Arabidopsis thaliana: one gene and its partner. The protein of the gene in region 1 interacts with the protein of each later gene in a pairwise test. Each region holds a gene or a part of one and is shown on either strand. Other genes may lie near its edges.

Region 1 (6,019 bases):
TTGATCACATTGACTTGAAATATTTCATATTTCTATGGAACTCCCAAATATATGTAGATTCCACATTTCCATTTGTTAGAAAGATGATTTATATGAAGAGTAAAACTGTAAAAGAGAAAATTAATTAGTTCGTGGAAAAGCAAAGAGGCGAAGCAAAACAATATAGGTCATTGTTAAATTAGCAAATCTAAATAGGTGATTATTACGTTAAGAACTAGACTCATTTGTTTACAAGAGGAATTAATATTTAAGTGATTGTTTTTTTGTAGTAATTTGGTATCTCAAACCAAAGTTCACACTAGTATCCGGAGCTATGCAACAGTCAGTATTGACCAAAAAGAAAATGTGTCAACCCGATATCAGCATGATCTATTCTAGAGCATGACAATGACCAATATTATACTACTACTATCTCTTGATCATTATTTTACTGTATGTCTCCTTGTTGCTTAAAACATTATCTCGATCTTATCCTGATCACTGGATCACATAGGTTAGTGAGTGTACATATGAAAGTGGAAAATACTTTCGAGAAATTATCCAAGTATATGACCATAGAAAATAGTTCGAAAAGGTGAAGAAATAAAAATCTTTCTGGGGAGCATTCATGACTCAAACTTTAATCATTCATCTTTTTCGGCATATGTTTTGGCTGCCGGTCACAGAATCACAGAATCATATGTCTCTTTTAGATAATGCCTTTGAGGCTTTGCTACTTGCCAGCACCTAAAAACACTAAAACCAATGAGGAATACAGTACTACTAAAAACATAAATATCGAGTATCAACCATATGAAAAGCAAATGGTTGATATTTTGAAATCAAAAATAGGCCTCAATTAGTTGGGCCTGCTAAACACAACGAAAGATATATAAATATAACCCAAAAAAAAAAAAAAAGATATATAAATATAACTCTTATTTTCTTACTTGTTTTTGTACCATTTTAGTTTGGTAACTTTAACAAGTAAACGACTAGTCGGTACTTTAATTAATTTAAATATGTTTTGCCTGCCATGATGAGGTGTCCATACTCCTTAGTCATCAGAGATCTATGCAGGCATATTCAATCAGAAAACAAAAAATATGCCGATGGGCGATGGTGATGGGCACGTTATTGTGAATTTGTCTCCATTATATGCTCTTTTTCTTATCGTTTATTTCCTAAGATATATTATTTATATACAAACCAAATCCAAGAACAATCCTTTCCCCATATGGGCTATGGGGACTGAAGAGGCAGAAGATGAAAAAGAAAAGACTGTCCTCATATACTAAAATATACGCACCACTAGATTTCATTCATCGAATTTGTAACTTTACTTTAAAGTTTGACTTTCTTTTCCTTGAGAAAACAAAAATAATGTAGATGATAATTGAAAATAAACTAATTTTTCTCTGAAATCTTGTTTCCACGACAAAAAGAAAGTTTACAAATTAAACAACGAGTCATAGGATTTTGTACATGAAACATGTGCATTAATGGAAAGAGATTATATGATTATTACAAAGATTAAAACAGCAAAACCGCAATCACACTCAAATTTACAAAATGACAGAACACAAAAAAAGAGAGAGCCTAATTCTATTGAGATCAAAGTTGGGAGAAATGAAGGAGAAACAAACAAACAAAAAAAAAACTCCCCCATTTAGGGAGATAGTAAAATTACCAGAAAGATCTAAACTTTTTATTAGAAGAAAGAGGAGGAGGAGTGATCTGTGGGACAGTGAAGCCACCATCATCATACCATCTCTTGTTGTTCTGTCCTTGTTGTTTCATGTTTTGTATTGGAGCAAAAGACACTACTTCTGGTGATGTTTCTTTGTTGTACATCCCAAACTGTATGTTGTTGTCTTGAGAAAAGTATTGATTTGGGTATGAAGAAGGAAGAGTTTGTGGAATCTGAGGGACCCAAATCCCTAAATTCTTAGATGGAAGTGACACTGTATTGTTGTTGTTGTTGTTGTTGTTGTTGTTGTTTCTCTTAGTGTTGTTGTCATCTTCTGGTTCCATATATGGTAACACTCCATCATCATCACCACTCTGCAATCACACAAAAGATAACCAACAACTCTTTTTCAGAAATTTTACACAAATACCCAATATAGTAAAAAGATCTATCCACATCTATAAAGTTTGTTACCTTTATAATACATTAATACCTCATTAGATCTAAAATGATATGATATTACGTAAACAGAGGAAAAAAAAATTCAATCTACTAAGGGTCATTGTCAAATCTTGAAATCAACTAAACTTGGATCTTTCTTGATTAAAGAGATAAGAACAAACCTTAGAGAAACCATAAGTAGGAAGAGAGGAATCGAGGAAATCCTCAACGTGCCAACCAGGTAACGTATCCATCAAATACTCAGAAATCGTGCTTGTGGATCCCCACTGATTCACCGACGCATCACCGCCGTTGATCTTCGAAAAGGGTTGGATCTTGTTGCTCTGAGGAGGAGCTGAGAGAGGTTTCTTGAGAGGAGGAGGATTAGAGATTGATGATCCAGGGACAGAGAAATCTTGGTTGCTTGAAGAAGAAGAAGAAGATTTCGAAGTAGGTTTGTAAACAGACGATGTTGCAGAGAGCTTAACCCCTGTAAGAAGAAACCTATCGTGTTTCTTTGTGTGTTCGTTCGCAGCGTGGATCGATGAATCGCAATCTTTGCATAAAATAGCTCTATCTTGTTGACAGAACAACAGAGCTTTTTTATCCTAGAGTTCAATAAAAAGAAAAAGTTTCAGATTCTTGATCGGCAAAAACGATTGAATTAAGACAACAAAACTCATGTCCGAAGTTAGAAAGAGACCTGACAGATGTCGCAGAGAGGAGAGGAGGTGTTGGAAGAAGAAGGATAAAGGAGAGAGAAACGGAGATGTTTAGAGGCGAGTTTGTTAGCGTGGTGGACTTGGTGGTCGCAGCCGCCGCAGAGAGATGCTTCGTCGGCCGTGCAAAACACCGACGCTTCTTCTTTATCGCAGACGTCGCACCTGATCTTCATCGATCGATTAAGAGAGAGATAGAGATGGTGGTAGTTGAAAATGATAGGAGAGAAGATGTGAGATCTTCTTATGGAGTAGTAATGTAAGAGGGTACTTATGTAATATCAGCTCCTCTTTTTTCCTTCTTTCTTGTTTCTCAAATCATATCTTTTTTTTTTTGTTTAATTATATCTCTCTTTTTCTTTTCTTTTTTATTCCTAGAAAATTATTTCTTGTTTTATATGAGATGTCCATGAAGTAAAAAAAATAATTAATTATTACTTTGTTGGATTAATAAAACACAGCGATATAATGAGAGCTTGACTGATGAGAAGTAATTATGCCCATGATAGTTCGGTAGTTCCTCAATGTAAACTAATTATATTTTCCAGCAAAAAAAAATAAGAATGATATATTCAAATAAATTTATTGGCATTCCATTCGATTGTTTGATAGCATTCAAAAAAACAAAATAAATAGAACTTAAATAGTAGCAATGAAAAATTTTCTGTTTAATTCTCCTAACTTGGAAACAAAAAATTGAAGTAGACAATGTTTTCATAATGAAACTAAAAATGATGGAAAACTCACTTATATACCATCGAATGTAAACAACATTAACTCTTTAAAACTTCACTTTTCGATTGACTAATTTAACTTAAGAAATGTGAACAATCAGACAGGTTTAAACTTGTATTTTTACTAGTATCATACCTATACGTACGCTTATGTCAAAACATTTACATCAGAATTAAGATGATCGATATAACACAACCTTGCTTTTAGCCGATTGATCTCATGTTTATTCAAATTTCCATCTATATTATACTTCATGGCATGCAGTCACGCACGCCAACTCCAAAATAGAGGATCGGATAAGATTATATTTGAATATATCATCTTGTTATATTTTATTGTGTTATCTTTGTTTAGAAGATTATATAGTGGAAGCCCGAAGAATTTTGCACTGGACGTGGATGGTGTGAAGGCTGAAGCGCGGGTATCGAACCAAGTGGGACTAGTGGGAGTCTTTCCTTCTACATCAATAATTAAACAGATAATGTCTCAGTGGTTTCCTTTTATGACAAATTAGAATTACATTTCTCTAGTCATTTTATTTTTATTTTGCTTTTATTTCTATCTTGAATTCTGAAAGATTGTTCAGTCAAAATAAATAAATAATTAGATGCCCAATAATGCTTATTAATTTCAGTTATAATTTTATCAGTTCAAATATATATAAATGGAATGAAAATCAAATGTCATTTAGTTCGGCTTGATTCTTAATACTTTTTTTTGGTTTTTATACAGATTTGTTAGCTACGTATATTTTCTAGTCTTAAAACAGGGGAAAACCTAGCTAGCAAATGGAGACAAAACTAGATTTTTCTTTTTAGTATGATAAAACCTTACATGGTTTCTTAAAAGTAAAAAGATATTAATTGGTTCGTATAGATATATAAAATATTAAGGAATAAGGATAAGTTTCAAAATCTAGAACCACTATCAAGTAACAACCAAAGATTATAAAGTTTACTTTTTCAGGAGTGAAATCTAGTAGAACTGTATCTTGTAAATTACTACATTATATCCCTGAAAAAGCATTATATATATTAAAGAATAAAAGATTCTCCAATTAACTAAAGGCGTATGCTTAAAGAAACTTTGAACCCATATTGGAATATGATAATGATTTGAAAGTTGTAATTCTCTTTTAAGAATCCATGTATATGCCCCCTAAATATCTATAATAGGAGTCCCCATAGTCCATAGAAATACCCTTTTAGTCGTGGAAGCTCGATCCAATGTTGCATTGTTGCAGTGGTTAATCAAGAATTTATAAATGTTTCTATGGTATGAAAATGATTGAAAATACTCAGATTGAAAATGATCTTTGTAATCATATATCTCCCGCAGTTCTAATGTTACTAAATGTTATATCAGTCAAGTTAATGTAGATTTTTATTTTTCAAAACAATAATAAAGAAACATGTGCCAATCAGTAATTAACATGTTTGATACAAAGATATTTCAAATCGAGATTCAGTGCAGCAGTGTGGAGTTTTTTAGACAGTTCTTTAAACTTAAATTCGATATTAATATTTGAGCGCATAATACAGCATCCATGTGAACAGCGTCTAACGCAAGATTACTTTAGTAGAATAGTTATAACTTTTGATGTGAGCTAGGGAGCAGACGGGTCCCACTTCATAGTCTCATCTCATGTACTACATTTTATCAAGTGGATAATCATGGCGAAAAACATTTTAATATGAACGGCAAATTTGTTTTGATATTATTTCTGGTAGGCTGGATTATGTTCTTAATTCATTATTTTCTGTTTTGAACATTGAAACTAAATTTCAACCTATAAGAATTTGACGTTCAAAGAAGGTAGAAGAAGGGATGGGCAAAGAAGAGAGACAACACGTGGCTCGTTTGGTCCGCCGTGTCTCTCGTACGTTGTTCGAAGCTCCACACTTAAACTCCTACTCTAGGTCATCTACTCCCACAATATTATTGAAATTAAACAAATTTAGTGAAACCAAATAATATTTGTGTCAAAATAATTTCACGTTGATAGAAGTTAACAACTATCCCATTGGTTATTAAAGTATTTATATATTTGTAGAATATAATAAGGAAATTAGTTGGATCGGAATGGGCAGATGGTGGGGAGGACAATATGGAAACCTCTCGACTCTTAACAGCGATTTAATAATAATGTTCTTTATTAAAACGAATTTATTGATTTTGCTGGACCACTATGCGAGTTTCATTAATTTAACGTATAATGAATATGCCCCACATTATTTGACATATTTTTTTTGAAGCATGAAACGTATACAGGGACCATTACTAAAAAGCTGATAATTAAACTAAAACTTAGAGTTTTATAGTGTGTAAAAAGTGCATAATAATCCAAATTCTAATTCTTACTATATATGTTGTTGAAATTAATACGTAATCGCTTACGCCAATAGTCTGATCTGAAGCGAGGAAAGTGTCATCACAGTCACCAATGGACTGCACT
Region 2 (6,214 bases), on another chromosome or scaffold:
GAATGGTGTATTAGGGTCACAAGCAATGGCTAGCAGAGGTTCAGTTTCTTGGAGTAGTGAATCATCCGAACGTTGTGAAGCTCATAGGTTATTGCTCGGAAGACGGCGAGACCGGGATCGAGAGGCTTTTGGTTTATGAGTACATGTCGAATCGAAGTTTAGAAGACCATCTCTTCCCTCGTCGATCACACACATTACCGTGGAAAAAAAGACTCGAGATCATGCTTGGTGCTGCTGAAGGATTGACTTATTTACATGATCTTAAGGTAAAATTTCGAAACCCATTAGAGGAAATCTGGTTTTAGACAGACCCTTTTTATTGTTCTTGATATTTTCGGACAGGCACAATGTTAAACATTAAGTTATATTAAATGTGGTCATAGAGACATGATTAGTAGTTTAGGATCGAGACTTCTGTGAACCGGGGATGTGTGTTTAGTGTTTAGATTGGAAGATAATTTCCTATTTATTTGGTTGACAGGTGATATATAGAGATTTCAAATCCTCTAATGTGCTTTTAGACGATCAATTCTGTCCAAAATTATCGGACTTTGGGCTTGCCAGAGAAGGACCTGATGGCGACAATACTCATGTCACTACCGCAGTAAGTTTGGTTTGATATATAAATGTGCATTTTATAAGCTCACTCGTACTTTAAAGTGATGAATCTGTTACAAAGTTTTAACAGTTCTTCTTCTTTCTATGTATAGAGAGTTGGAACACACGGCTATGCGGCTCCGGAATACGTGCAAACAGGTCATCTTCGGTTAAAGAGCGACGTCTATAGCTTCGGTGTTGTGCTCTACGAGATCATAACCGGACGCAGAACCATTGAGAGGAACAAGCCAGTGGCTGAACGAAGGCTATTGGATTGGGTCAAAGAGTATCCTGCTGATAGTCAACGTTTCAGCATGATCGTTGACCCTCGGTTACGCAACAATTATCCAGCTGCTGGAGCTAGGAGTTTGGCTAAATTGGCTGATCTTTGCCTGAAAAAGAACGATAAAGAGCGACCTACGATGGAAATTGTAGTGGAAAGATTGAAAAAGATTATCGAAGAATCGGATAGTGAAGATTATCCGATGGCTACGACTACGACCAAGGAAAGTAGTCAGGTAAGGAGGAGACAAGTTGCAAAACCTGAGAAACAAAGTTTGAGAGGGGTTAGTGTCAGAGGATGATTTTGAGTTTAGAAGTTTTTTTGCAAGTTTATATATTATAAATAAGTTTATGCAATTTGTTGGTTTATTGTGAGATTAGTAGAGAAAATGTATCTTATTGTGTGTTTTGTAAATAAAATTCAATACGGTGAATGAGAATCATTGAGATCAAGTTTTATGAGAGTGTTTTGATGTTGATAGCGTAACGTTTTAGCCAAAGTTTTCTATGTACGAATGCAAATGCAATGTTGTTGTTTGGAATTTATCATGAAAACTTTATACGTTTTAAGCATTATTACATTCTACAAATCTTATTTTAATATATATATATATATATTTATACTTCAATTTATTTGAGTTTCTGGTCCACTGATAATCAAAAAAGATATCTAATTATTTGTTTCAGAAAATATTGTACTACCGATTTCGTGAAGAAAAAGAAAACTGTACTATCAAAAGCATTTGAAGGAAAAAGATATTTTATACCTTTATTTCCCACTTTTCGCAAGTCACCAAATCTTACCACAAAAAGAATCAATTTCAAACTATTGCTCAATCTTATATCAAATCACAAATACGTCATTTAAACTATATAGCAAGTACTTACCAAAAAAAAAACTATATAGCAAGTTAAAAAAAAATGCTTACTCTTGTTTTCTCGTATAATATTCTCATATTTCAACATATTAAAATTTGATTTAACATCTGTATATCCCTCGAAAGACATTGATACCGAAATCTAAAAACAAAAGAAAAAATATAACTCAAACATGCCATGGACTATTATAATTCACATAGGCATTTACATTTTCTCTTCTCATACTCCCAAAATTTCATGTCAAGAAACTATTTTTTTCTTACAAAAAAAGAAAAGAAAATTAAAGGATCTTTAGCTTCTTCATCTTTTTCCCAAGACTTGAAGCTAAAGTTTTAAAAGATCCTTAAGATCTCGAGAGAAAGAGAGAGGATCCAAAACCAGCTTCATAGCGTTAGATACAATATAGCTTATTTTTTTCTTAACCTAATTAATTATAATAATTCTCAAAGTTCCCAGATATTTTTAATTAAGCAGCAGCAACAGTTCCATTGTGAAAAGCATAATCACGAGATCTAGTTGGTGAAGATTGTTCTTTCCTCCGCATAGCTGATTTCACCGAATGAGACAGATTCTGTTTCTTCTCTTTTGCTTCATCTCTCTCTATCTGTTCTTGTCTACACTCTTCACTGCAAAACGGTGTATCTCCTCTGCAAAAAATTCACAAAATCAAAAACTTCAAATCAGACCCATGAAACAACAAAATTAAAAATATGTTCTGTTCTAGAATTTGTACCAAAAACAGAGGAATTTGAAATCAGACCCATGAATCGTTTAATTGATTAATCAGAAGATTGAAGAAATGGGTATTCGAAAAAAATCAATCCTTTCGTAATAATTTCGACTAAAAATGAGAGAAATTGATAGAAAACAAAAAAAAAACAGATCTGATGTTATAGATCTTAGATGTTACCTGTACATGTAGATGTCTCTGTTATCACCAAGAGGTTTCTTACAGAGGAAACACGAGTCCAAGAAATGAGGTTGTTGAATATCGAATCTGAAATCATGAAATCTTCCAGACACAACAGATCTCGGAGACGAAACAGAGTATTGATTGTAATAATAACTCTGACTGTTCCTAAGACTGTTTAATCTACCGTAAGAGAAACGGCTTGAAGAAACGACACCGTTTTGGGGATTTCCATGGTTATTACTATTATTATTGTTACCAGAAAACCCAGCTTCCATTTCTGATAAAGAAGAAGCCAAATTCTCTTCTTCTTCTTCCTCAATGAAATAAGGCTTTCTCGATGAAAGCTCCATTTTTTTTTTTTCTGGTTTTTAGAGAGAAAGTGAAAGAGAGAGAGGTTTTGTTGTTGATGTGAAGAAAGTGTGAAGTGGGATTTTATAGCAAAAGATCTTTTTTTTTTTTTTGGGGTTTAAGAGAGAGAAAGTAAAAACAAGGGGCGAAACTTTGAGAGAGGAGAATCTATTGGCTTTTATGCTATTTTTGAAAGTACAAGAAATCGAAAACCATTTTTGTTGTTTTCCTTTTGAGAAATATACTTTATTGACACATAGAGGAATAATTGATAGAGAGGCGTTACAAAATGGTCTTTTTCGTGACTTACTCGTCCTTCGGTTTTTGAGGAACTTTCGAGAGAGCTAAGTAAAAAAGTTAAATGTTTTTTTTCGACATTCACTTTTTAGTTCAATTATTAACTTTTAATTTTCTTTTTTACTTAGACAACATTATTAAAGTAAAATTATTAACTGATTGTCAATGCAATAATACATGAAGAAGTTGCAAAGTTTGAAAATTTTCGTATGATTAGGAATTACTGTCAAAATTGTTGCATTTTTAACATTATTTTTAAGATATATAGTCGACAAAAAAATTAAGAAAACAATGTAATTATCGTAAATATTTTTTTATGAAATTGATAACTTGTTACTTTACATAATGTGATACAAAAAAAAATTGTTTAAACACACATGAAATCAATAATTATTTATTTATTAATTTCATCTATTTTGGTTTTAGAAATGAAATGATAGAATTTTACTATCTTAGTTATTAATCTCTTGTACAAAAATTATTTTTCTATTAATCATAAATATATCTTATACTAATCAGATTTTTTTAAGTAGTAGTTGGATGGATCCTACTAACAATTTAAAGACAATAATTTCTACAAGCTAATTTTTTAGAGATCAATAAATATATACAGCTATAATTCTACCAGACATTTTAACCACTGTAACTTACGGTGGTGTTACATTGAACAAGTGATCACATCCGTCTAAAGAGAAGTAAACTTTTTCTGAAGGCATTCAAACAAAAGTTTTAAGGTAACAAAAACAAGAAGGAAGCAACAAAATAGCGGCAAGATTGTAATTAACAGAAGTATAAGGGTCACAAATGAAAGTACATAAAACTACATCAGGGTTCCATAAAACAAGGGTCCCACCAGCACTCGAGAGACGTTAAAGAAAATCATGGGGATTCGGGGGAGAGGTGGGCCCTACGCGCGTGGGGTTTTTGGAATAAGCGTTACACCGTAATCACTACACCACTTCTACTACTTGTGTTGTGTTGTGTCTCTCTTCTTCTTATTATATGGCGACAAAATGGTAAGAATATTGTTTTTTACTTAATTTTTTTATTAAATCAAGAATTACAAAATTGTCGTTTTATTTGGTTATGAATTTTCGTGGTGGTGGGTGACGTTTTTGCGAAGACTTTGAGGGAGGTGCTTTGTGAGGTACAACTACAAATAATAGTGGTGCAATGAGGTCGGTGTTTTTCTAATGTTAGAATAGGTGTGTGACTGACTAGTTGTGATTTCGATATTTATGGTAAGTATAGTTTGAATTTCTAATAATAGTGTGGACCTTGTTGAATAGTGGAATCGAAATAACAAATAAGAATTAGTGGAACTCTTGTTTGTATATATTAATTCAATAAATTATGTGATCTATCAATATATGAGAAACAAAGGAAAAAAAAAGTCATTTTATTGTCTATATAATGCAGCTATTTTGTTAAATAAATTATGAAGTTTAGACTTATTTACAATGACTGCCATTTTAATTATTGATTTTTTTCCAGAAATAATTTGATTAACAAACTAAAAATATTCCAAATATATTCCAATCTCATATGTCACGCACATAGTATTCAGCAACTATTTAAAACAATAAATATTTGACAAACAAAAATATAATTGCAATCCCTTAAAATGAACAAAACACACCTAAATACATTCTTTATCTATCCAATAAATCTTTTTTCTCCAAAATTTGAACTAGATTTTGGCAACTATTTAAAACAAATATTTGTTTGACAAACTAAAATACAATTGCAATCCCATAAAATATTTATTTTAATTATATATTTAAATTAGTGGTGTACGGCGGGTTTTTTTTACGGGACGGATTTGGCGAGACGGGTTTGGCAGGATGTTATTTAATAACAATTGTAAACTATAAAATAAAAATAAATAGATTTAATTTGTAAATTTTTATATATACTAATTTAAAAAATAAATTGTCTCTGCGGTATACCGCGGGTTAAAATCTAGTGGGTGAATTAAATTTATATACTTAGAAGAAGTTGAAATTAAAAAAGTAGAAGAGATAATTTAAAAATTAGGTAAATATGAAAGAGAAAAAAAATATAAACCAAAAGTATCTTTCATATTTGGATTAATTACAAAATTGTCATAGTTACAATATGGTTATTATACGGATATATATGCGAAGACGATAACATTATTATTAAAAAGTAACAAAATATTTAGCATATAAAGCAAAAAAGTTGACTTGCGACTTAATAATCATGTAAAAAATACATGAATCAGAATAGTTAGCAGATAACGTATTATCAGAATAACATGATAACAAATATCTCGGTAATACTTATTAGGTTAACATGATAACAAAATATTTATATCAATAAGTTTATAATTATATCATGCTAAGTTATTTTGTATCGTCATAAGTTATAATTTATGTGATATATTTATAGTTACCGTCTTAACTTATTTATTATATCATATAAAAAAATTAACAAGTTACTATAACGTGCAAAATATGAATCTCTTCCAATAAGATTAATATTATCACTACCTCTAGATAAAGTTTTATTTAACTCGGTAATTTAATTGTTAACCAATTTTAAGATGAAAGATAAAAAATGAAAAGGCATAAGAATAATGATGTAATTTTTTTTACTAATGTACTGCATAAGTATTAATATATTGTGTCAGTTAATTTTCTGTTCTTTTATGTATACTTTTTGTAAATATCCTTTCATTAGGATATTTGAAAAGTTTGCATTTTTAAGTTTTAGAAATACGCTTCTTAAAATAGTGATATATTTGGTACGTTACAACGTCCTCAAACGAACTTTAAAGTCCACACCATTAACACCACCGAGTCACCATCACCGTCCCAATTGTTGGTTATACGGTTACACCGCAAAACTGTCATTTATTTCATTTTTGTCAAACAA

What was found. Proteins that work in one complex are often made in the same cells at the same time.
Region 2: the proteins of BBX21 (region 1) and AT5G47060 interact in a two-hybrid assay, tested with the Arabidopsis thaliana proteins (one study listed by BioGRID).

The regions. Positions count from the first base shown.
Region 1 is NC_003070.9:28,363,045-28,369,063, reverse strand, and holds BBX21 (salt tolerance homolog2), read right to left. Parts: upstream 3,241-6,019; 5' UTR 3,006-3,240; coding exon 2,814-3,005; intron 2,719-2,813; coding exon 2,293-2,718; intron 2,044-2,292; coding exon 1,666-2,043; 3' UTR 1,326-1,665; downstream 1-1,325. Other genes in the region: AT1G75550 (glycine-rich protein), read left to right, coding at 270-385. UniProt on the Arabidopsis thaliana protein: Transcription activator that acts as a positive regulator of seedling photomorphogenesis. Acts downstream of COP1 and play an important role in early and long-term adjustment of the shade avoidance syndrome (SAS) responses in natural environments.
Region 2 is NC_003076.8:19,113,650-19,119,863, reverse strand, and holds AT5G47060 (hypothetical protein (DUF581)), read right to left. Parts: upstream 3,080-6,214; 5' UTR 3,022-3,079; coding exon 2,669-3,021; intron 2,406-2,668; coding exon 2,225-2,405; 3' UTR 1,647-2,224; intron 1,400-1,646; downstream 1-1,399. Other genes in the region: AT5G47070 (Protein kinase superfamily protein), read left to right, coding at 15-266, 482-604, 711-1,181. UniProt on the Arabidopsis thaliana protein: May act as an adapter to facilitate the interaction of SnRK1 complex with effector proteins, conferring tissue- and stimulus-type specific differences in the SnRK1 regulation pathway.